Arabidopsis thaliana: one gene and its partners. The protein of the gene in region 1 interacts with the protein of each later gene in a pairwise test. Each region holds a gene or a part of one and is shown on either strand. Other genes may lie near its edges.

Region 1 (5,244 bases):
ATTAGAAAGAACTATATTAGGTACATAGATATACTCTTATTTGGGAATTCTGAAAATATCAAGGAAAATTCCTTATATTATATTTTCAACAACAAAAAAAAAACTTCCTTATATATATGTTCATACTAAGATAAGAATCAAGTAGAGTGGCTAAAATCAGGAATTTGATTGGTCAGAAAAGATTTTTTATCCTCACTCTATTGGTCATGTAAAATTAAAATCAACTTTGAAATTTATTGGTCATTTAGAAGAAATATATTAGGGAGAACTATATTAGGTACGTGATATATTTTGTTTTGGGAATTAATGTGAAAATACTTAAAAACAATTGTTATATTATAATATTTGTTTTAACAAAAAGAAAGAAAAAAACTTCTTTATAATTCTATTTAGAGTAAGATATATCAGAATAAAGTAACTGAAATTAAGAACTGATATTTTATCTGATTGTTAAGAAAAGATTTATTATCTTCTCCTAATTGAGATTTATAAGATATTTCAGTTATTATTAAATCATATTTATATGTGCAACATTTTAAGTTTATTTATTTCTTACCTCTATAATATTAATTAATATTGGTGAAAATAGTTTTAAAACAAAACTGGACGCGAAAACCCTCTTGGCCCAAAGGTTAATCAAGAGTTAATAAAGCCTTTACACCAAAGAAGTCTAAAGTTCGAATCCAAGATTATGCGATTTACTAACAAATTTGCAGATTAATGGAGTTTGATATTAAAAAATATTCAAATATTTTGATTAACTGATGTATATCTCAACGACAACTCAACTCCGTGAAGACATCGTCGCTCAATGACATTGCACCACTTTCAGATTGGGATCGAATCCAAGTGAAAGCAGGAGCTTTAGGTAAAGGAATGATGATAGTCTCACTGCCAAGCCAAATTATTACAGAGCTCATGGTTGGTCTCTTTGTTGAATTCTCTTGAACACACAACAAACCAATTTGGATCAACTTGATGATCTCATTTCTTGGATTCTCTATTAAGAACGGATCAATTATAATCTCAGGCTTTCCTTCAACCCATCTTTTCCATGCCTACACCAAAAACATAAGTTCTTACTTTCGGGATAAAGTTTTGAAGATAGAAAAACAAAAACTGATATGTGAAGAAGCTTAAGGTCGCCGGTTCGAGTAACGCTTGGAACGAAACTAATATTACATGCTGTGGTTTCGGTCCTGGGGGGATTACGGGCTTCGGCCCAAAACCTCCAGCTATTCAAAAAAAAAAAAAATTGTGAAGAAGCTTACAAAAGCTGCAAGTCCTTCTCCTTCGAAGCTATTGTTTCTTTCACCACTAATCATCTCTAGAAGCATAACACCGAAGCTATAAACGTCAGATTTAGCTGAGATTTGTCCATGATTCAAGTACTCAGGAGCCATATATCCACTGCATATATGCAAACCAATAGCATTAATTCATGGACTCTGTTTTCAAAACAGAGCATTTGAAATGTGTCATCAAATTTGATTGATATATTTCTTACCGGGTTCCAGCTATTCTTTTTGTTTCAGCTCGAGTCTCGTCGGAGTCGAACAACCTCGCAGTCCCGAAATCCGCAACTTTAGGGTTCATCTCAGCGTCTAAAAGTATGTTGCTTGCCTTCAAGTCTCTGTGAATAATCTTCAGCTGAGAATCTTCATGGAGATAGAGAAGACCTCGAGCAATGCCTTCTATAATTCTGAACCTCACCTCCCATGTAAGAAGAGAACGCTTATCTTCATCTGCAGAGTTCAAAGAAACATTTAGTTTGCTAAAAGTTCTAAATCTATCCAACTTGGCAGCTGTCTTTCGAAGGCTCACCAAAGATAAAGTGATCAAGACTTGAGTTGGGGACAAACTCGTAGACAAGAATCTCTTCATCTCCCTCATTACAGAACCCAAGAAGCTTAACAAGATTCTTATGTTGGAGTCTTGTCAAGAGTGAAACCTCATTCTTAAACTCCATATCTCCTTGTCCTGATCCTTTTGTTAGTCTCTTGACCGCTACCTCTTGCCCGTTTGGGAATGTCCCCTGAAACCCATTCTCAAGATATCTATTTACTCATAAAAGACCAATGTTGATCAAGAACTCATCATTAAGGAAAAAGTTTATTATTACCTTATAAACCGTACCAAATCCACCTTGGCCAAGCGTATTTTCAGAGGAGAAGTCATCAGTTGCCATTACGATCATACCAAGATCAAACCGTAACATGAATTGACCATCAGAATCAGAGTATTCTGCACTACCAACTAAAAAAACAAAAAATCCATAAGCCTTACTCTCTACATCATAAGCTTGATTGAAGCAAGTTACACTTACCATTATTTAATTTTCCCCTCCGTGCATAGACTTTGATAAAGCCAATAAACACCAAAAGATTAATGAAAGTAAACACCACAACTATTGCGATAATTCCGCCATACCCAATGCTTTTCCCTGCAAATTACCAACCCTTTGTCTAAGAATTAACCTCTTAATCATAATAACAATTTGGCACGAAAAGTTCATACCAAACCGCTTCATGTCACTTATGTAAACAATATTCCTCAAAATTGGCTCTTTTGAGCTCTAAATGAAAGCTAAAATAATTTGTGTTACCTTTTTTTACTGTTATGCAGCTCTCCTTTTCCTGAGCATGAGGTCGAGGAGGAGGCGCAGGAACTCTTGTTACATTATCAAAAGCATTATGGAAAGAATATAGATCCCACCTGAAATAACAGCTTGGAAGACTAGCCATGCCTCCTTTTCTTCCCATATAGTCTTTTCTAAAGTACATCACGCAATCTCCCAAACATTGCTTGCAATCTCGTGAACTTAAGTCGGGTGTGCATTGCATCAGCATGTAAACATCTGGAAACTCGGTGAAACCCGCTTTTTCGGCCTTATAGTACTTAAGCACCGAGGAACCTTCAGCTTTCGTGGCAGCCTCTAGGGTCCGATTAACCATTTCTTCCCACTGTTGTTTGAAAAGGGTTATGTTTTTAGATGACTCTATAGTATCTGGACTTGGCCATACAACAGGAGGTTTAAGCTGGACGCTCCCAAAAGTAGACTGGTTTGAGGAACGTACAAGACAAGTTACATCGTCATTGCCTCCCCATATGAACGAATCCCTACGGCTTCGACAATCTGTTAGTGTGTTCTGAGTCAATGATTGGACACAATTGTAACAAGCGTCTTGGTCGTAGCCTCTTGCGCAGCTGACAAGAGCGTAAACTTTGTCGGGATCTTGGCCGAGTGAAGCGTTGTAGAATCCGTCGTTGATGATGACTTTGTCAGCAAGAGTAGGGAACAGTTTCTGGCGATTCTGAGCGAAGGTGCTGCTGTTACCGTTGAAGGAGTTTCCGAAACATTTGACCGCGTTAACAACATGGAGTGTTTGAAGGACAAGTAGAAGAGAAGAAGAGAGGAATATCATCAAAGCAGAGCATTTTCCCATTTTTGTTTGTTAAAGATAACAACTTCTTTGGTTTTTTTTTTTTTGATGTACTACTTGAAGTAGTCTACTTCGTTACTGTTAAGTATAGTAATAAATTTTTGAGCTTTGTTTATATTTATATAGCCTACCAGCTTTGACATTTGAAAGGTTCCAAAAAGAAAACAAAATATGGCCTAATTTTCTTCGTTACTGTAAATAATAATCACAAGTTATCTTTCAATGGTAAGTTGGTTGATAATAATCAAATGTAATAACTAGTAAAAAAATGAAACATGGCAGTTTTTTTTCCCCGGCAATATTATCATAAACAGTTTTGCATAATACATGAACCATTCACATACGACCATTGACATAAACAGAGACTTTTATATAACGAGAAACATGTCAGTGAAAAATAGTTAACAATGAAATGATAAGTCGCTGAATTACTAAAAATATAGAGATTATATAAGTTACGTTTTCGATTTGTGTTGGGAAAAATCTATTTTACAATGGTTCCTCTGTTTTTTAAGAAGTGTTGTTTAAGCAAAAACAAATAGTTTCATTTTATTTGTTGTTTTCAATTTTTAATGGAAATTTTATTATTTTTGACTCTTAGAAATTCTACAAAACTTTTTTTTCAATTTGTTGAATTGTTTTTAAATAGATAATTAACTATATTAAAAGATAATAATAAAAAACGAAATAATTTCATTTGTGCCAAAACCTTGAAACTTAAACTACAAATAAATGACAATAGAGGGAGTAACAAATTAAATAATATACTTATAATCATTTCTAGGAAGATGTACAGACTCATTCACAATCAACTTCTTAGTCAAAAATTATATGTAATAGTAAAATACTAAAATGTGGAAAAGATAGTGATAGAAAAACACAAATAAATGAAATGTTTGGTATTACCTGTGAGACGTTAACCCATATTAAGAACTTTTGGTCCCCAGTCCCCACAAAACCTTGAAAAAACGCGTCTTTGTTAACTTCCAAACTGAGAGAAAATGCGTATTGGTTGATTTTTCAAAGATTCCAAAAATGGCTACCCACAATATAGAGATAATAGCAAAACAAATTCTTTTTCTTTCGTGATTGATTTTATGAATAGCTTCTTGGACGATTCCGCAATAGCAACTCTTCCACCAATTCACGGATCCACAATATACGGTTCTACATACAGTTATACATTATATATTTATATTTATTATAAATTTATGAAGATGCAGATTCTGACAACAACGAGCTGATAAACATCATGGAGCTGTTGGAAATTAGGAAGCTGCATCAAATCTGTTAGTTTATAATTGAGTTTGGTCTATAAGTTATAATTATGTTGTATTAAAAGGTGTTTGTTAGAGTCGTGACTTTTAGATTAGGTTGTGTCGTTTATCTTAGAGAGAAAGAGACACAACTCTTTACTTATTGTGTCTATTTGTTTTCTATTTAAACTTTTTGTATCGTGATGAAACGAACAAGTTCTCCATTCAATAAAAGTCAGTTTCTCTTTTGCTTTGTGTATCTCATAAGAAACAGAACAACAAGTAAACACTTGTTTTTTCTTTGTAACAAGAGGCTTCAATTTCCAACATGGTATCAGAGCCCTACTGATTCAAGGGCCAAACATTTCAAGTAAAGAGTTTAATAAACACGAGAGAGTTATGGAGATGGTGTCACACATTGTGACTCCAATCTTCAACAAAGAGAATTATGGTTTTTGGCGCATCAAGATGAAAACAATTTTCCAGACAAAGAAACTGTGGGAAATTGTTGACGAAGGAGTTCCAAAACCACCCGCAGAAGGAGA
Region 2 (5,720 bases), on another chromosome or scaffold:
GGATTTCAATACAATCAGCGATACCCTATCATTAAAACTCAAAAGCCAGTTCTTTATGGATATGTTACTTTTCTCTTCTTTCAGTTCAAGCTTGAACGCAAAAGAGGAGAAGAGGCCGTGGATTTTAAGAGCAAAGGAACTTTCAATTCAAGCTGGCAACAAGCAGACCTCTGAGGAGAACAATACACTACCGCAAAGACTCATATATATAAGCTGTGGTTGGGAAAGCTTTAAAGAGGTACTAGAGACAAACACTGGTATCAAACAATGCTGCCGCTTTCGTTCATTCTAACTTTGAAACAATGGCTTAGGACTGCAAGTCGTTATTATCTAGCAGAGCGTGGGAGTTGGAAAAAGCCCATGGCTTCAACTTCTTTCCCGGAACCGACAGGTATTATAGAAACATTTACTTCCATTTTATACTGCACAAATATTATTCATGCTTATTTTACAATTTGGTTTTCAGCATTGAAGTTTTGGCCGTATTCAAAAGAAGGGTTGCGAGCAAGAAAAAGAAGAAATCGGGAATAAAAAAAGTGGGAATTAAGAAAGTGCGTGCTAAGTCACAGGACTCTTATTAGTTAATGTCTGTAACACTTGAACTTCAGAGGTTTAGGAGACCATCTAATAGATGGAAACAGTTTTGCTCTGTTCCTGTTGATAAGGAGATATGAGTCTCTCTTTTTGTGTCATTGCAATATTTATCTTATCAACTTCTGTTGGATATGAAGAAAAAGTGCAAAACTGGACAGATACATCTTTAAGAATGAGAAGAAAAACACAAGGCTGCAAGCGATTTCTTACAACAAGCAAGTAGCTCTTTCAATGTGTCTTTCCACCTTTGGATTTTTCCAAGAGAGGAAAGGCTTGTAGAATGTTGTATGCCCTTAGGTCCTGTCTGGTTAAGATCCCTACCACAGGACACATCTGCAAAAAAATTGATTCGCATTGGAAGGAAGTTAGTGTTGTTTAGAGGCTTTAGCAAGAATGGGAGTAAAAGAGAGTTAAGGCATATAAACTCACTCCTGAGGCTTGAATCTTGGGAACAATAAGCAAATGCCGGAGTCCCACTTGCCGGAAAAGTACTAAAGCCTTGGCCACTGACATGTTCTCCATGACTGTGTAAGGTGTTGTGTTGGTGAGAGGATGAAGATCGACATACATTTCCATTTCAGCGCTTGTGATGGCCACGTCGTCAAAGTTGTCTTCTCTTTCAGCCAATTCATCCCATGGAAACTTTTCTCTGACCTCCCACTCCTCTGTTCTTCTTTTCTCTGTCAAGAACCATCTCTTTTTCAGAACTTTAACGAGGTGCGCTCTCAAGATCAACCCGTGGAGTTCTGTAGCCCCAGTTGCTAGACCCACTTGAGGTACTTCTGCTTCATCTAAAACAGGGAATGCATTATGCGTCGTGTTCTTTAGCACATCAACTATATTTGAAACCTTTTCAACACCTTGCAGGGTTACAACCGGGGGCTTAGCATCACCAAGCTCACCAACGGTGAGGTTCCTCATCCACGGCTCTGGATTTGCTTCTAAGAAAGGTAAGCCCTTTAGATGCAAGATGATGTCATATATACTCGGGTTAAAGCTGTCTCCCACAGTTTTGGCTATCAGAAGCACGATCATCGTTATAGGAAGCAAAAGAAGGTTGTTGGTGAGTTCAAGGAATATAACACAGAGTGACACAGTCATTCTCATCGATCCAGCCATGAGTGCAGCTGCACCAAGGACAGCATAAAGCCCTTGGTCAATACTTGTGTATGATCCCATTGCAGCGCCAAGCATTCGGCCATATGCAGCACCCATGAGGATGATGGGGAGGAAGAGACCAGACGGTGTTGCAATACCAAATGTGAAAAGCCCCAAGATGCAGTATAGCACAAAGAATATCCAAAGGGAACCCATACCAAACTCATTGGGAGTGTTGGAAGAGAAAAGGTTTCTGACAGCATCATCGTTGGTGGTGAGAAGCAGAGTAGCTAGATCATTGTAGTAACCTTTAGGGCAATGGAACTGTTTGAAGTTACCCGATCTTCCATTCGTCGGGCATATCTCATCTATCGAGGGGTCACAAGGCTTGCATTTCGCTAAGAAAGGAAGGCCATAAAGGCAAACAGATGTAAAGAGTGATACTGTAAGACTGAGAAGCACCTTATGGATCTTACCCTTCCTGCAAAATGACCAAACAAAGTAAGTAACTAGCTTAACGGGTTTTGACTCATTGAATAGCTAACACTTACTCATTGATGAGATTGTAAAGCCTGAGAACTTTATGCAGAAGATGATTGTACAGGCTCCCAAGAATTCCACCGATTACACCAATCAACATGACAGGGATTATATCAGTTACATGGTAAGTATAAGTTACATGACTCACATCAAACATGATTAGCCCTCCTTTTCCAAACAACCCACACTTCCCTGAATTGCAGATCTCTATGAACTCTCTTAGAACAACCACAACAACCGCTGTGCTGAAGAAAGTCCGCCACAATAAGGCACTTCTCCACCAAGTAGCAACTTCCTCGAGGGCGAAAAGTACACCTCCAACAGGTGACCTGAAGGCTGCACACACTCCTGCAGCTGAGCCACATGTAATCAGATCCCTGCGGTCTCTATCGTTGTTGAAGTAACGAAGCCACCGCCACTTGATACGGTGGTTGTCTGTTCCACCTTGTCCAAGCAAAGAAGCTATGCAGCTTCCAATGTGAACTAGAGGACCCTCTTTACCTAGATCAAGTCCAGCTGCAACCGCTCCAATGCTTCCAACAATCTATCAAACCCCGCTAAACCGTGAGTCAAAATTCAAATTCATACATACTAATCATTACAAATCTCCAAATTCAGAAACAAACCTTAACGATCATAGTAGTAGCACCAAACATGTTGGGAGTATCTACACCATTAAGATAAGCTTTGATCTCAGGGATTCCAGGTCCAGCCGCCGTAGGAGCAAAGCACACACAAAGCACAGACGCCACCAACGTCAGTCCCAAATTCGCCCCAACAAGCACCATCAGACCTGTAACATATCTGTTTCCACCACAAGACACTCTCATCCATCAATCATCATACACTAAAAATAAAAGGTAACAAAAACTTTTTGATCTTGAATATTTTTGATAGTGATGATTTACCTTTCTTGAGTGAGGAAGTGACCAACGGCTAAAAGCTTATAGCCGGCGATGTTTTCAACAGCTAAGTTGATGAGAGTAGCGATTAAACCAGTGAAAAGACCAACAAGACAAGCTAACGTCCATTTCAAGAACACGTATTGAAGTACTTGTGCCTTTGATCTTTTTCTCCAATCATGCTTAAACAGATCGTTCTCGTTTATTCTGTCAATATTTAGATTAAAGATTAAAAGAAGACCCCTGAATTCAAAATTATGCAGAGAAGAAGAAGAAGAAGAACATACTCATAGTCCAAGCTTTCGATATGGGAAACTTTGGCACCAACCAAAGCAAGTGGAGTTGAAGAAAGTGTTCGATTAGCCTTAACTAGAGGTTGGTTAAGTGTGTTGCTCTCTGGGTCGCCTCCTTCTCCATTGTAATTACTATTACCACCAATCTGGTTTAAATCTTCTTCCACCATCTCTCTGTCTTTGTTCACATAAAGATGAAACTCTGGCTTTTGGTCGGAACCTCTGCAACAGAACCTTTTTAAGGTTCTTACAGAGCTTTCTCTGTTAACAAAGCACTTCTTGGTGGTTGGTTATTTCTTTAAAAAATTATTATAATTATTTCATGCAAATTGGTTTGCCGACTTTTGTTTTTTATTTAATTTTCTTTTATAAGTTGTAAATGTCTACATATTTATATACGTATCTATATTTGTGTATATGAATAGTGTCTAATTTTGGCGAGACGACGCTTATGCTTGTGAGAGGGTAACAGACAGAAAACTATGTAATCCATACATATGCTAAACTACAAGACGAGACAATGATTGACCATTTTAATATTATGTGTACAATAAATAACAACCAAAGGTTCTAATCAAATTGCGAATTTTTTATTATAAATAAAAATTGTGAATTTGTATTTGTATAACGTAGGGATAAGATTTTTCTATGTGGCCTTGTATAGTGATTCATTTGTTTGATATAGGAGGCCGAGTAAACTATCGGATTTGTTTGAAAGTAGAACTATTAAAATCTAGGTTTAAAATGTCTTATAGCGATACGGTTTCATATTGTTGCGTCCTAGCTAATGGTCTAAATTGATACCAAAAAAGACTTATAGTTTTGTACATATCATCAAGAAAATCAAATAACAAGAAAACAATATAATCATCCAGTTGGTGTTGTTTTGGTTGAAATTGACAAATGTCGCTCAGTGGATTGAAGGTTAGTTCCAACTCAGCCCTTACATTGGACAGATCAGCAGTACTTTTCAATACGCCGTATCTTCTGGAGATCTAAGACCATCCCCATTGTATAAAAATAACAGTGTCTTTAATTTTTTTTTTAAAAAAAAAAAAAAAAATGGTACAGTGGGAGACCATCCCTATTGCATAAAAAAATAACAGTGTCTTTAAATTTTTAAAAGAAAAAGAAAAAAAAAAAAGAAAATGGTACAGTGGGAGACCTGTGTCTTTCATATCTCTATAGAGACATTTTTGTATCTTTAAAGACATCATACAGAACTAATAAATGACTCAAAATTAGAATAATATTAATTTTTATAATAATTATTGTAAAGACATTTCTAGAGAATCACCAATGTGGATGCTCTAATGGTCACAATCACAAAAACTCCAACTCTTGAAGTGATCAAACAAACACTTTTATACAACTTGTTCTTCTATAATCTTTTGAAGTTTGCAAATCTTTAGTTTATACGAGAATTTTTGTTTCCAAGAGAGTAATCGTAATATTGAGAACTTAATCATTGCATGCATATACATTATATAAACCATAAAAGAGATACAAAGTTATTGTCATATAGAAAAACAACAACACAAAGGAAAACGATGTATGTGAAAACTAGGACCATGAGATTGGTTCACGTAAGAAGCCAATAATATAAACACGTGGTAAGTACCTCACCACGTGATTAATAGGAAGAAAGAGTCTATTGAACGGCGATCTTGTCCCTCTCTCTCTCTCTCTCTGGTCCCAGGAATACTTGTCCTATCGAAGACCAGATCTGATCCAATTGGTTGTCTTTGTATCCGACACGTGTCCCCTCGTGGTTCATATGATTTTAAAACAATTAATATTGAAAATTTTATATTAGAGATTTACCAAATGGTAGAACTAGAAACTGTGAAAACAAACAAGAGCGCTATGTGGCCTATTTTTATTATTTTGCAGTAAACCTGAAACATTCTGTTAATATATAAAACTATTATTAAAGTGTCTTTACTTTTTTTCTATAATTTTTTTTTAATTGACATTGTATTTTGGACGACGGAAAACTGACTAATTTGTGTTTCGTATTTACATACGCTTTATTTCTAATAAATTACATTGGAGGAGTAAATAATAACAAATAACACATCAATAGGGAAGAAAATGGAGATATATGTATATATCATCAAATTAACATCTAAATTATATATATAGCTCACTATCACGATGTGTTTCGTATTTACGTACGCTTTATTTATATGGTATTTTACAAGAAAAACAATTTTAGAAACTTTCGTGAAATGTGTACGCAAAAGCAAATAATTTGGATAAGAATAAGATTATTAATATGTGGGAGAGTAAT
Region 3 (4,575 bases), on another chromosome or scaffold:
TATCATCTTCGATACTTTCAAATTCATTACATGATACATTGAGAATCTTCTAAGAGAATATTAACAAACTTTTTTCACACTTGTCAACATGTATACGGTTTTATTTCATGCATGAATACTTTAAACTTTTGTTTGTATATACATATATGTCTATGACAATTCTTTAAGGCATTTTGTCTTCTTGTTGCGGACAAAACTTCACAATTGGTAAGACATTTAAACTAAAGTCATTGTCACTTGGATTCTCTCATATAATTCAACAAACATAAAAGAGAAAAAAACATATAAAAAATAAAAATATTTGTTTAATATTGTATGTATTATTTACATATAAAGCATATTTTATGTGGTATGTTACAGAAAGATGGATGGACTGAAGAAGAGGATATAATACTGATAAAAGCCCATAAGGAGATTGGGAACAGATGGGCTGAGATAGCTCGAAAACTCCCGGGACGCACTGAAAATACGATCAAGAACCATTGGAACGCGACTAAACGTCGACAACACTCGAGGAGGACTAAAGGAAAAGATGAAATTTCCCTTTCACTTGGTAGCAACACTCTTCAGAACTACATTAGGTCTGTTACCTACAATGATGATCCTTTCATGACCGCAAATGCAAACGCAAACATTGGTCCAAGAAACATGAGAGGTAAAGGTAAGAATGTAATGGTTGCGGTCTCGGAGTATGATGAGGGTGAATGTAAGTATATTGTGGATGGTGTGAATAACTTGGGTTTAGAAGATGGAAGGATCAAGATGCCGTCATTGGCGGCTATGTCGGCCTCCGGATCAGCGTCTACTTCTGGTTCTGCGTCTGGTTCTGGAAGTGGTGTGACCATGGAGATTGATGAGCCGATGACTGATAGCTGGATGGTGATGCATGGATGTGATGAAGTTATGATGAACGAGATTGCTTTGCTGGAGATGATTGCTCATGGTCGTCTTTAGACCGTGCAATATAAACAAGTCGAACTTGATTATATCTACCTATATAATTATGCTATTTATGAAATTATGTTTGTGCTTTTAATTGAAGAATTGGACATGTAATATATATTGTGGTTTAATTGAAGGTTTCTTTTGGACTAAACAAAAATTGAAGGTTTTCTTGCTTTATCAGATTTTTTTTTTGTTATTCTCTAATTTCATTTTAATTAAGAATCTATATATATTGTTAAATTTTCTGTTATACTATATGAATGGTAATTGCGTTTGCGGTTAGGAGAAGACGACCATTAGGTCCACAACAAGTACATTTAGTCACTAAAGAATAATTTTATATCGACTATGCTAAAGAAAAAAAGTACTAGTTGTTTACAAAATATCTGGTTAGTATGATGTAATATGGGATAATATGTGTATGGTCCGTTGTATTGTAATTTTCTGGAATTTGTTACCTTACCGTCATAATGACTATATGGTCCGTCGTATTGTAATACCAGAAATTTTAGGCAAAACACAAACAAAAAAAAACGTAATGAGAGTTTTGTATACATTATATTTTGGTTTTCCATTTGTTTTGTATATCACCATTCGAAAAGTCATACATAACTAAAAGAAAAATACATAAAACTTTTGGGATCTATATTCATTAATGATATTTTGACTAACTACATAGAAAATTGAGATCTTAACCAAATACAATAAACCATTACTTCTTATTCTTTTTGTGCAATTCCTCCAACAAAAAAAGAAAAAAAACTTAACAATTTTAGTCTTAACTACAAATAGTTAAAAATAATAATGGGCTTGTAGATATCTTTCCATTTATATGAGATTTGTGATTTAGGCCTATTTAAGTAAAATACACACGAAACCAAATCGACGTCGTTTGGCAACTAAGCGTTGGACAAACGGAGAAGGTCCCACCTGTCCTTGTCTCCACTCTGTGTTCTCCGATTCCAGTGGGCCTCTGACACCGCCATTGGATTGTTCTTCAGATTTATACATATCTCATATCTCATCACCTTCCAAGTTTCAATTTGACTTCTCCATCACACACAACAACAAGAACAAGGACAAGCTTCTACATTTCTCTTAACATAACGTAAGTATCAAGAATCAAAGCTACTTAATCTTAACACTAATATCTCTATATGTAAATCAATTAAGCTACTTTTAACTCCTCTGCAGAGACAGTTTTTGATCTGGGTTTTCAAGTCCGGTGTTGATCCCATTGAGTTTCGGATCTAAAAGATCCGAATATTCAGACGGATCAACAAGAGAACAAGAAAAAAAAAATGAATCTTGAGAATGTTTTGGAATTCACCAGCTTTGATTACTGGTTTAATTGGAGAGTGTTACTATGTGCTATATGGGTAATAGTTCCAATGATTGTTTCTTTATTAGTCTTATGGAAGTATGAAGATAGTTCAGTTCAAACTCAACCATCACTTAATGGTAATGATGTTTTGTGCATTGATGATGTTTGGAGACCTTGTTTTGAACGAATCCATCCGGGTTGGTTGTTGGGTTTTCGGGTTCTCGGGTTTTGTTTCCTTCTTGCTAACAATATTGCCCGGTTTGCTAATCGTGGATGGCGTATTTACTACTATTATACTCAGTAAGTTCTCTTTAAAGATCTCTGCTTTATTGTGTGGAAAGGGAATATCTTTGATGTTTTGAGACTGATATGATTGAGGTTTTGATTGGTAGGTGGACATTCACTTTGATAGCAATCTACTTCGGGGTATGTTTTGATTTTTGATGTTGTGAATATGTATATGGTTATAGTCAAGTTTGTTTGAATGTTTGTTGTCACTTGTGTGTTGTGTAGATGGGATCATTGCTTTCAATTTATGGATGTTTACAATACAAGAAGCAAGGGAACACTGGACTTATCGCTGATCAAGTAGGAATCGATGCAGAGAACGGGTTTCGTTCGCCTCTTATAGATGGTGACAACATGGTTTCGTTCGAGAAGAGAAAAACTTCTGGTTCGGAAGCACTAAAGTCATATGTTCATCTCTTCCAGATTATATATCAGGTAGACAGATTCCTTTGGTTATTATGATGTATAGTTTGCAACTTTCAGATTTCTTGTTTCATTAGTGTATATATGATCACTGATACTTGTGTGTTTTGGTTTGTTGAAAAACAGATGGGTGCTGGAGCAGCTGTGCTTACAGACAGTATATATTGGACCGTGATTTTCCCGTTTCTGTCTTTACAGGACTATGAGATGAGTTTCGTAAGTTTTCGCGCCATTTACCGTATATTAGTTAAAGCTTGTACACTGCTGATGGCACTTTCTACGTTGCACTTGACCCTCTTGAACTTAGTCTCAACTTCTCTAGTGTCAAAATTCTGTGTTTTCAGATGACTGTGAATTTGCACACAAGCAACCTCGTTTTGCTGCTTATTGACACGTTTCTAAACCGTCTGGTAAAACAATTCTTTCCTCTGCATTTACGACGAGTTTTCGTTTTCATTAATGTGTTGAACCTGAGGTCTTTTTGTGATGTTGCTTTGCAGAAATTTCCATTGTTCAGGTTCTCTTACTTCATCTTATGGACAGGATGTTTCGTTCTTTTCCAGTGGATTCTCCACATGTTTATCTCCGTTGGGTAAAACTCTTCTCTGTCATCTTTTGTATGTTACACTTACCGTCTTGATTAATCTTACACTTGTATTCCTCGATTGACTTAGGTGGCCATATCCATTTCTCAACCTGTCATTAGACATGGCTCCAGTGTGGTAAGCCTTGAAAACATTTACATACTAGACACTAGTCAGGATTGGTTTATATCATAATGTTTCATTCCTTAGAATGATTACGCCTATCCTTAATATTTTAATTCATGCATCTGCAGGTATTTGTTGGTGGCACTCCTGCATCTTCCTTCTTATGGCCTCTTTGCATTAATCGTCAAAATCAAATACAAACTCATTTCTTGAAGTCATTTCGAATCCAAGAGTTTCTGCCCCGTAAGAGTCAGTGCTCAAGGGTTACAACAATCAAAGAAACAATTTTTTACCCCATATGTCTAAAATCTTCAAAACAGATCATTGTAAACGCCACAACATTTCAATGCATAAACTATTTACTTCCGATCCAATTCGCATATCGCAATGAACCATTTCGTAAATTTTTCGCTACCCGAATTGATTTCAGCTCGAACCAAATCGAAAGAACTAACCATAGCAACAGAATATAGTGCAATCTTTGCCAAAAGTGTATGAACTTAATCAAAAACCGAACCAAACCAAACCGAAAACCCGAAAATTCAAGGTTTTAGAATTGAAGATTTGAGTGAGACTTGAGAAGCCAAGTCTGGCTCTCCTAGTCTCAAGAGACCCTTACTCAAAACCTCAGCGACATACTCATCAGCCTCCCATGACTCAGACCCCCAACCACTTTCCCTCATCAAGGTATAAACCCTAACCACCGACTCTCTCCTCTCAGCTCCAACCACAGCCCTAATCAACTTAGCTAAAGCCTTATCATCACTTCTTTGATCAATTCCATCAATTTCACCAATAAGACGATCTATCTCATCGAACTCTTTATTCCTCGTAAGAGCATTAACAATGTCTGCGTATAGAACAAGGTCAAGAGGAGGATACTCT
Region 4 (5,891 bases), on another chromosome or scaffold:
TGCTACGACTGTTTCCAGCAAAACGGTGCGTTTTATGACCCTAAAGCCTCTGCTTCTTACAAGAACATAACTTGCAATGACCAAAGATGCAACCTAGTCTCATCACCTGACCCTCCAATGCCCTGCAAATCAGATAACCAATCATGCCCTTACTACTACTGGTATGGGGATAGCTCCAACACTACCGGAGATTTTGCAGTAGAGACTTTCACGGTTAACCTCACGACAAATGGAGGGAGCTCGGAGTTGTATAATGTTGAAAATATGATGTTCGGTTGCGGTCATTGGAACCGAGGTCTCTTCCATGGTGCTGCAGGCTTGCTTGGTTTAGGAAGAGGCCCGCTTTCGTTTTCCTCTCAGCTTCAGTCTCTTTATGGTCATTCCTTCTCTTATTGCCTTGTCGACAGAAACAGCGATACCAACGTTAGTAGCAAACTGATTTTCGGAGAAGACAAGGATTTGTTAAGTCACCCGAATCTGAACTTCACTTCTTTTGTCGCTGGGAAAGAAAACCTCGTCGACACATTTTACTACGTACAAATCAAATCCATTCTAGTCGCGGGAGAAGTTCTAAACATACCTGAAGAAACATGGAATATCTCATCAGATGGAGCTGGAGGGACGATCATTGATTCAGGTACAACCTTAAGTTACTTCGCAGAACCTGCATATGAATTCATCAAGAACAAGATTGCTGAGAAAGCTAAAGGGAAGTATCCGGTCTATAGAGATTTTCCAATCCTAGATCCTTGCTTCAACGTCTCTGGCATTCATAACGTTCAGCTGCCAGAGCTTGGGATTGCTTTTGCAGATGGCGCTGTTTGGAACTTCCCGACAGAGAATTCTTTCATATGGTTGAATGAGGATTTGGTTTGCTTGGCAATGCTAGGAACTCCCAAATCAGCATTTTCAATCATTGGAAACTACCAGCAGCAGAATTTTCATATACTCTATGATACAAAGAGGTCTAGGCTCGGGTATGCACCTACAAAGTGTGCAGATATATAATCTTTCTTGTCGATTTTTAAGTCCATCAAAGCAACTGAACACACAATAAGAACAGATTCATTTTTTTCCCTTTAGATTTTTTCATTCTTTAGGATATTCCTTCAAACATGTAATGTATTTGCTGTAGAACAAAGATCATACCAAACTAATGTACTTATTCAAATTCATTTCTGAATACAAAGTGATTTAATTTTGCTTGCTACATGCATTTTCTCAAACTCTATAGTCTACCATCAATGACAAGTAAATTTGTAGTCACTGGAATTGTCAAAGTTTGATTAGTAATCCCTGAATTGTTTGTGAGTTTAGGACTCACTTTGGTAAGGTTTTAAGGCAAAGGAGTTGTCAAATCATCGTCTTTGTTGATCCAATTTGAAAGAAATGCAGAAAATCTAGAGAAATTGGAAACTAAAGAAGCTTGAGTCTATTGCAGAACACAAACTATACAAAAGAAATCGGATTATGTACCTGAGCATGGTCGGAGAAGAGAGTTGCAGAAAAGAGGTGTCTCTGTTTTGCAAAAATAACTCGTTTAGTTCTGATTTTTACAAAAAACCCTCATTTTACATCTTCTAACAATAATTAATAATTAATTTTAGTTAAAGAGATATTGATTACTTAATAATTCTTTTAAGCCAAGAGTAATTAATTAATTAATTTATGGCAGTAATTGTTGTATATTCTAGTGTGCCGTACCACTTGTAGCAATTAAATTTAGTAGATAGTATATTGTGTTGTCCAGGAAATATATAAATATAAAAAATAATTTTTATTTTTGTCTCTCAGACCAGACCCAACCCATCTCCTACAACCATCTGTCTCGGTGGTGTTCTTTGATCCTCTCTCTCTTACAAACCTAAAATCTAGGCATTCGATCTCTTGGGGAGGATCGAGAAGAAAAGAGCGGATTCACGATGAAGATCTTAGCGACTCTTTTCGAATCAACCAAGGATAAATGCTATGCTCCTAGCTTCATCGCCGTCAATCTCTGTTTGGCTTTTATCGATGCCGCTCTTGCTTTCATCGCATTCCTTCAGGTTCTGATTCTTGGTTCTTCTGATTTCCTGAAAGAAAAAGAAAAAATCAGTCTTGATTTGTGAATGCTAGATTGTGTGTGACCGTTAAGGCCTGTTCGGACAGGTGAAGCATTGTGCTTATTGATTAAACGAGATGTGAGATTATTGATTCTTGATGTTGAATTTAATGAATTGGTTGATTTCAGTCTTTAGAGTTGTGTGTCTGTTGTTCATGTGGTTGACCATTAAGTTTAAAGGTCAACTCTATGAATAACTCACGGAGCTGAAGTGTGTTTGTGTAGAATGAGAGATTTGGATTCAGGGAATCTGAATATGATATGAATTATTAGCATTAGAAAGTAGAATCTTTTTTTCTTTTTTAAGTGCTATGTGTGTAGATTAAGATGTTCTTTTCAAAGGTTCCTATGTAGTTTTAGACGGTGAAGTAATAAAAAAAAAGTCTTATTCTCTTCTTTTTTTGTGGGGTTTGGCTTATAAGATTTATCTTGGCTGCCTACTTCTTTCAGTTATCTCGATTTCACAGGCGGAATAAACAAGTTGGATGGACTCGGCAAAAAGTATTTCTTCTCATCCCAACCAATTTAGGCTCTATGTTATTGTTATATGGTTACAGTTATTGTTACTTTTCATGGCGTGTATCTGACACATCCATCATGAAAATTGCAGGTACTTCATCTTATGATTGCTTCTTCAAACACTGGTAAATCCTCAGTCATTTGTTGTTCAGGAACAATTATAATTGGGGGAAGTTTTAGCCAGTGAGTAAGGTCTCTATTCGTATATATTGGCAGGTTCTGTTATTTATTTCGTGGCTGCGGTTATAGCGACTTGCACAAGGTGGCATCATTGGTCCAACGCATTAGGTTTTCTACTCATGGGTAAATATTTCATTCCTTTGTGAAGGTTTGTGTATGTTTTTCATTGATTTGTCTTATAGTTAATTCCCTGATGAATCAAATTGTACTTGCAGCCTTTCCCAAAATTCTGTTTCTGGCAACTTTTCTCCTGCTTCTCTCTTTCTGGTATGTATATTCTCAATACTCTGATCATATTGTGTTGTCCCTGATTATTTTATCTTAATAATGATCTGAGATAAGACAATGATGCTTCTTCATGTTATAGGGTAGATGTTTGCCATCAGGGAAATGGAGAGGAGGATGATGATGATGATGAAGAAAATAGCATCCAACAAGTGTTGCTTGAAAAAAGCAAGAGCAAGCCAGGTTCTTCGAATGCAAGTGATCGTAGAAAGTGTTGCTCTTTCCATGGTATTCATGTTGGAACCCGGCAGAAGTTTGTTGTTGCGGTATGGGATACTTTCAGTTTTGTGCATTAACCTCTAGCCAAGTCATTTCTATGATCTTTATAAAAATGTTTATCTTTTTTGCTAGGCAATTATTCTTGTGTTCATCTTAATGATATCATTTGCAATCCTTATCTGGATCGCTTCCGGAAAGAATCCTATGAATTCTTCATTATTGGCTGAGGTATGTGGTATTCCTCTGCACATTGATATTTCCTCTTTCACTAAGTTCTTAAGCTCGAGAAATAGAAGACTTTTGTCTATATTTTTTCTGGTTTTATGATAAACTCACTTCCTTATATAGGTGTATGTCGATATTTTTGCTGCAATAATCCTAATCACTGGAGGAGGAATCTGCTTCTATGGTAAGTGATTTCTTAAGTTCTTTTCTGGTTTCAGCTATTCATATTTTTCTTCTAGCAATTCGTGAGATGTTTTGGTCAGTGGTTTACTGGCTTATTGCTATGATTGAACAGCGTATATTCACAAACTCTTTTATGTTCTTTAGGCCTGCGTCTGCTCTTTAATCTAAGAAAGGTGCGGTCTGAACAAGTTTCATCAGAGATGCGAAAGGTAACTAATGATTCTTTGGCTCAACAAGCTTTTCTTTCTTTGCACATGTCAGTCGAATCCTTACCCTGAAAGTACATTTTAACCATTTATAGGTATCGGGTCTAGCAGGAGTCTCAGTTGTTTGCTTCACTGTTAGCTCTTTAATCGCTCTTCTCACACACATTCCAGTAAGTCATTATCACTCAAAAAAGTATGTCTGTAAACCGAAACCTAACATTCGTCGATACATTTAACCAAAACCAATCTTTGATCTCAGCTCTTTTATCATTGGAACCCAAGCAAATTACACGGCATCAAAGCATTGGTTCTTCTGATCATATACTATTTCATAGGTGAAGATTTTTTTCTTTCGTTTTGTTGTTTTGAAGACCTTCAAATGCAGGGTTACTGATAAGAACGCTTTTTAAAGGTTCCACCGTCCCATTGGCTTTCGTTTTATGGGTTTTGCGGGAGTTACCCCCTCAAAACATTGTGAGTAGGCAAGAAGACACCAGAAGGATTACTTATGTCAACTATGAAACTGTTCCAAGGCAACCTCAAGGTCCTCAACAAGACTGGGCCTCCGCCACAGTGTCGAAAAATCAGGTATACAATTCTCTTGATGAACATCTAAATTAGGAAGTCATGTCTGACACATACAAGGAGTTTTATAGTAAGCTGTAAATGCATGCATCAGATAAACTAGGGGTGGGAATATAAACCGAAGCAAACCACAATATTTATAGCTAACTAACTCTATTTAGATAAGAAAAACTCAAACCGTATGCTCACTTTTAAGATAAACGCAATGTTGAGAGCATTCGAGAAAGGTTTGAACGAATTGCGGTCTGAACATGAATACATAGTTGAAACACTACGAAAAATCCTCAAATGAGAAAGAAGTTTTCATTCTATTAGTGACTTCTGAGGTTATTTCAGAGTTTCCTTTTTATCGACCATAGATTGTTTAGGGAGGTCACTTAACAGTTTTTGGTTCGGAAACGACGGCGCAGGTGTCTAAAGCAAGTCCTATATGAACCAAACAATCATCATAATCATTGACCTGAAGCAAACATCCGCCAATCTTCTTTTGTAGTTACCGGGAAAAAGCCTCGTGGGATTGCAGAATGGTTCTTAGGCCCAATGTGGTGTGTTGTGGTGGAGTGAATGAAAGTGGAAACAAGCTCGTTTTCTTCTCTCTGAGTCGCCTTGGAATACAAAAATTTGTTTATAAGATAGAAATGGAGGTTTGAATCTGAGAAAGCTGTCTGTAAATATTAACTTTTGATTGCAATTTATAGTTTAGCATCATGTGTTGGGGGGACTTGTGGATGGATATAAAATGTGTTCCAAGGAAGATATAATTTTGTCTTCCTTTCTAAACAGCGTCGTTTAAGCTGCTTTGTTATCATTTACATATACGACGACGCATCATTCTGGTTTTAAAGATGGCATATTACGTTTGAGATTAAACGCCACCGTTTTCGAAAGATAGCACGGGCATTATACGATGTCGTATTGCTTCCTCTTTCGAAAATTTGTTAGCGCGATTTTGTTAAACTTTTAGCGCCATTTTTTTTCACATTAAAAATTTGAGACCCCGAAACGGTATCGTTTGTTGGATGTTATCCTAAAATTGACGGATCTGATATGAAAAAAAAAATCCTTAAAAAAACCGTTTGAGAACTTTTTGGATATTTGTGGTCTTCTCTTTTCGTCTTTCTTCTCCACTGTCACCTTCCTCGCTAAGCAAAAGAATTTAGAGAGAGCTTCGTACTATGCCCAGAGAAAAAAGCAAAAAGCGAGAGCCAAAAAGATAAGAAAGATCAAAAGATGAAAAAGCTTAGACGTAAAAAAGCAGAAATATATGTATATAGAATTAACAAGTCTCTCGAAGAAAACCCTTTAGCCATCTTTATCAATCTCTTTTCTTTTGCGTTCTCTATAAAGTTGGTATAAAAGGAGATCAATTAACAAATATGTTAATCGAT

The links.
Region 2: the proteins of CRK40 (region 1) and CLC-B interact in a protein complementation assay, tested with the Arabidopsis thaliana proteins (one large-scale study listed by BioGRID).
Region 3: the proteins of CRK40 (region 1) and AT3G27770 interact in a protein complementation assay, tested with the Arabidopsis thaliana proteins (one large-scale study listed by BioGRID).
Region 4: the proteins of CRK40 (region 1) and Cand3 interact in a protein complementation assay, tested with the Arabidopsis thaliana proteins (one large-scale study listed by BioGRID).

Annotation. Positions count from the first base shown.
Region 1 is NC_003075.7:2,288,247-2,293,490, reverse strand, and holds CRK40 (cysteine-rich RLK (RECEPTOR-like protein kinase) 40), read right to left. Parts: upstream 3,590-5,244; 5' UTR 3,447-3,589; coding exon 2,606-3,446; intron 2,444-2,605; coding exon 2,327-2,443; intron 2,257-2,326; coding exon 2,123-2,256; intron 2,036-2,122; coding exon 1,825-2,035; intron 1,746-1,824; coding exon 1,508-1,745; intron 1,411-1,507; coding exon 1,272-1,410; coding exon of another isoform or gene 1,236-1,271; exon of another isoform or gene 1,059-1,235; coding exon 774-1,058; 3' UTR 541-773; downstream 1-540.
Region 2 is NC_003074.8:10,022,024-10,027,743, reverse strand, and holds CLC-B (chloride channel B), read right to left. Parts: upstream 3,814-5,720; 5' UTR 3,598-3,813; coding exon 3,422-3,597; intron 3,342-3,421; coding exon 3,141-3,341; intron 3,037-3,140; coding exon 2,859-3,036; intron 2,777-2,858; coding exon 2,244-2,776; intron 2,174-2,243; coding exon 1,024-2,173; intron 928-1,023; coding exon 823-927; 3' UTR 582-822; downstream 1-581. Other genes in the region: AT3G27180 (S-adenosyl-L-methionine-dependent methyltransferases superfamily protein), read left to right, coding at 85-238, 312-391, 467-581. UniProt on the Arabidopsis thaliana protein: Voltage-gated chloride channel.
Region 3 is NC_003074.8:10,285,146-10,289,720, reverse strand, and holds AT3G27770 (plant/protein), read left to right. Parts: upstream 1-1,789; 5' UTR 1,790-2,053; intron 2,054-2,139; 5' UTR 2,140-2,246; coding exon 2,247-2,569; intron 2,570-2,661; coding exon 2,662-2,695; intron 2,696-2,782; coding exon 2,783-2,992; intron 2,993-3,106; coding exon 3,107-3,196; intron 3,197-3,324; coding exon 3,325-3,390; intron 3,391-3,480; coding exon 3,481-3,572; intron 3,573-3,654; coding exon 3,655-3,702; intron 3,703-3,818; coding exon 3,819-3,903; 3' UTR 3,904-4,064; downstream 4,065-4,575. Other genes in the region: MYB118 (myb domain protein 118), read left to right, coding at 361-954; EMB3123 (PPR containing protein), read right to left, coding at 4,233-4,575.
Region 4 is NC_003074.8:21,837,412-21,843,302, forward strand, and holds Cand3 (tobamovirus multiplication protein), read left to right. Parts: upstream 1-1,773; 5' UTR 1,774-1,922; coding exon 1,923-2,045; intron 2,046-2,523; coding exon of another isoform or gene 2,524-2,551; coding exon 2,552-2,602; exon of another isoform or gene 2,603-2,711; coding exon 2,712-2,745; intron 2,746-2,836; coding exon 2,837-2,923; intron 2,924-3,015; coding exon 3,016-3,067; intron 3,068-3,167; coding exon 3,168-3,351; intron 3,352-3,436; coding exon 3,437-3,532; intron 3,533-3,652; coding exon 3,653-3,713; intron 3,714-3,856; coding exon 3,857-3,921; intron 3,922-4,013; coding exon 4,014-4,088; intron 4,089-4,177; coding exon 4,178-4,253; intron 4,254-4,330; coding exon 4,331-4,506; intron 4,507-4,913; coding exon of another isoform or gene 4,914-4,937; exon of another isoform or gene 4,938-4,996; coding exon 4,997-5,038; 3' UTR 5,039-5,352; downstream 5,353-5,891. Other genes in the region: AT3G59080 (Eukaryotic aspartyl protease family protein), read left to right, coding at 1-1,008.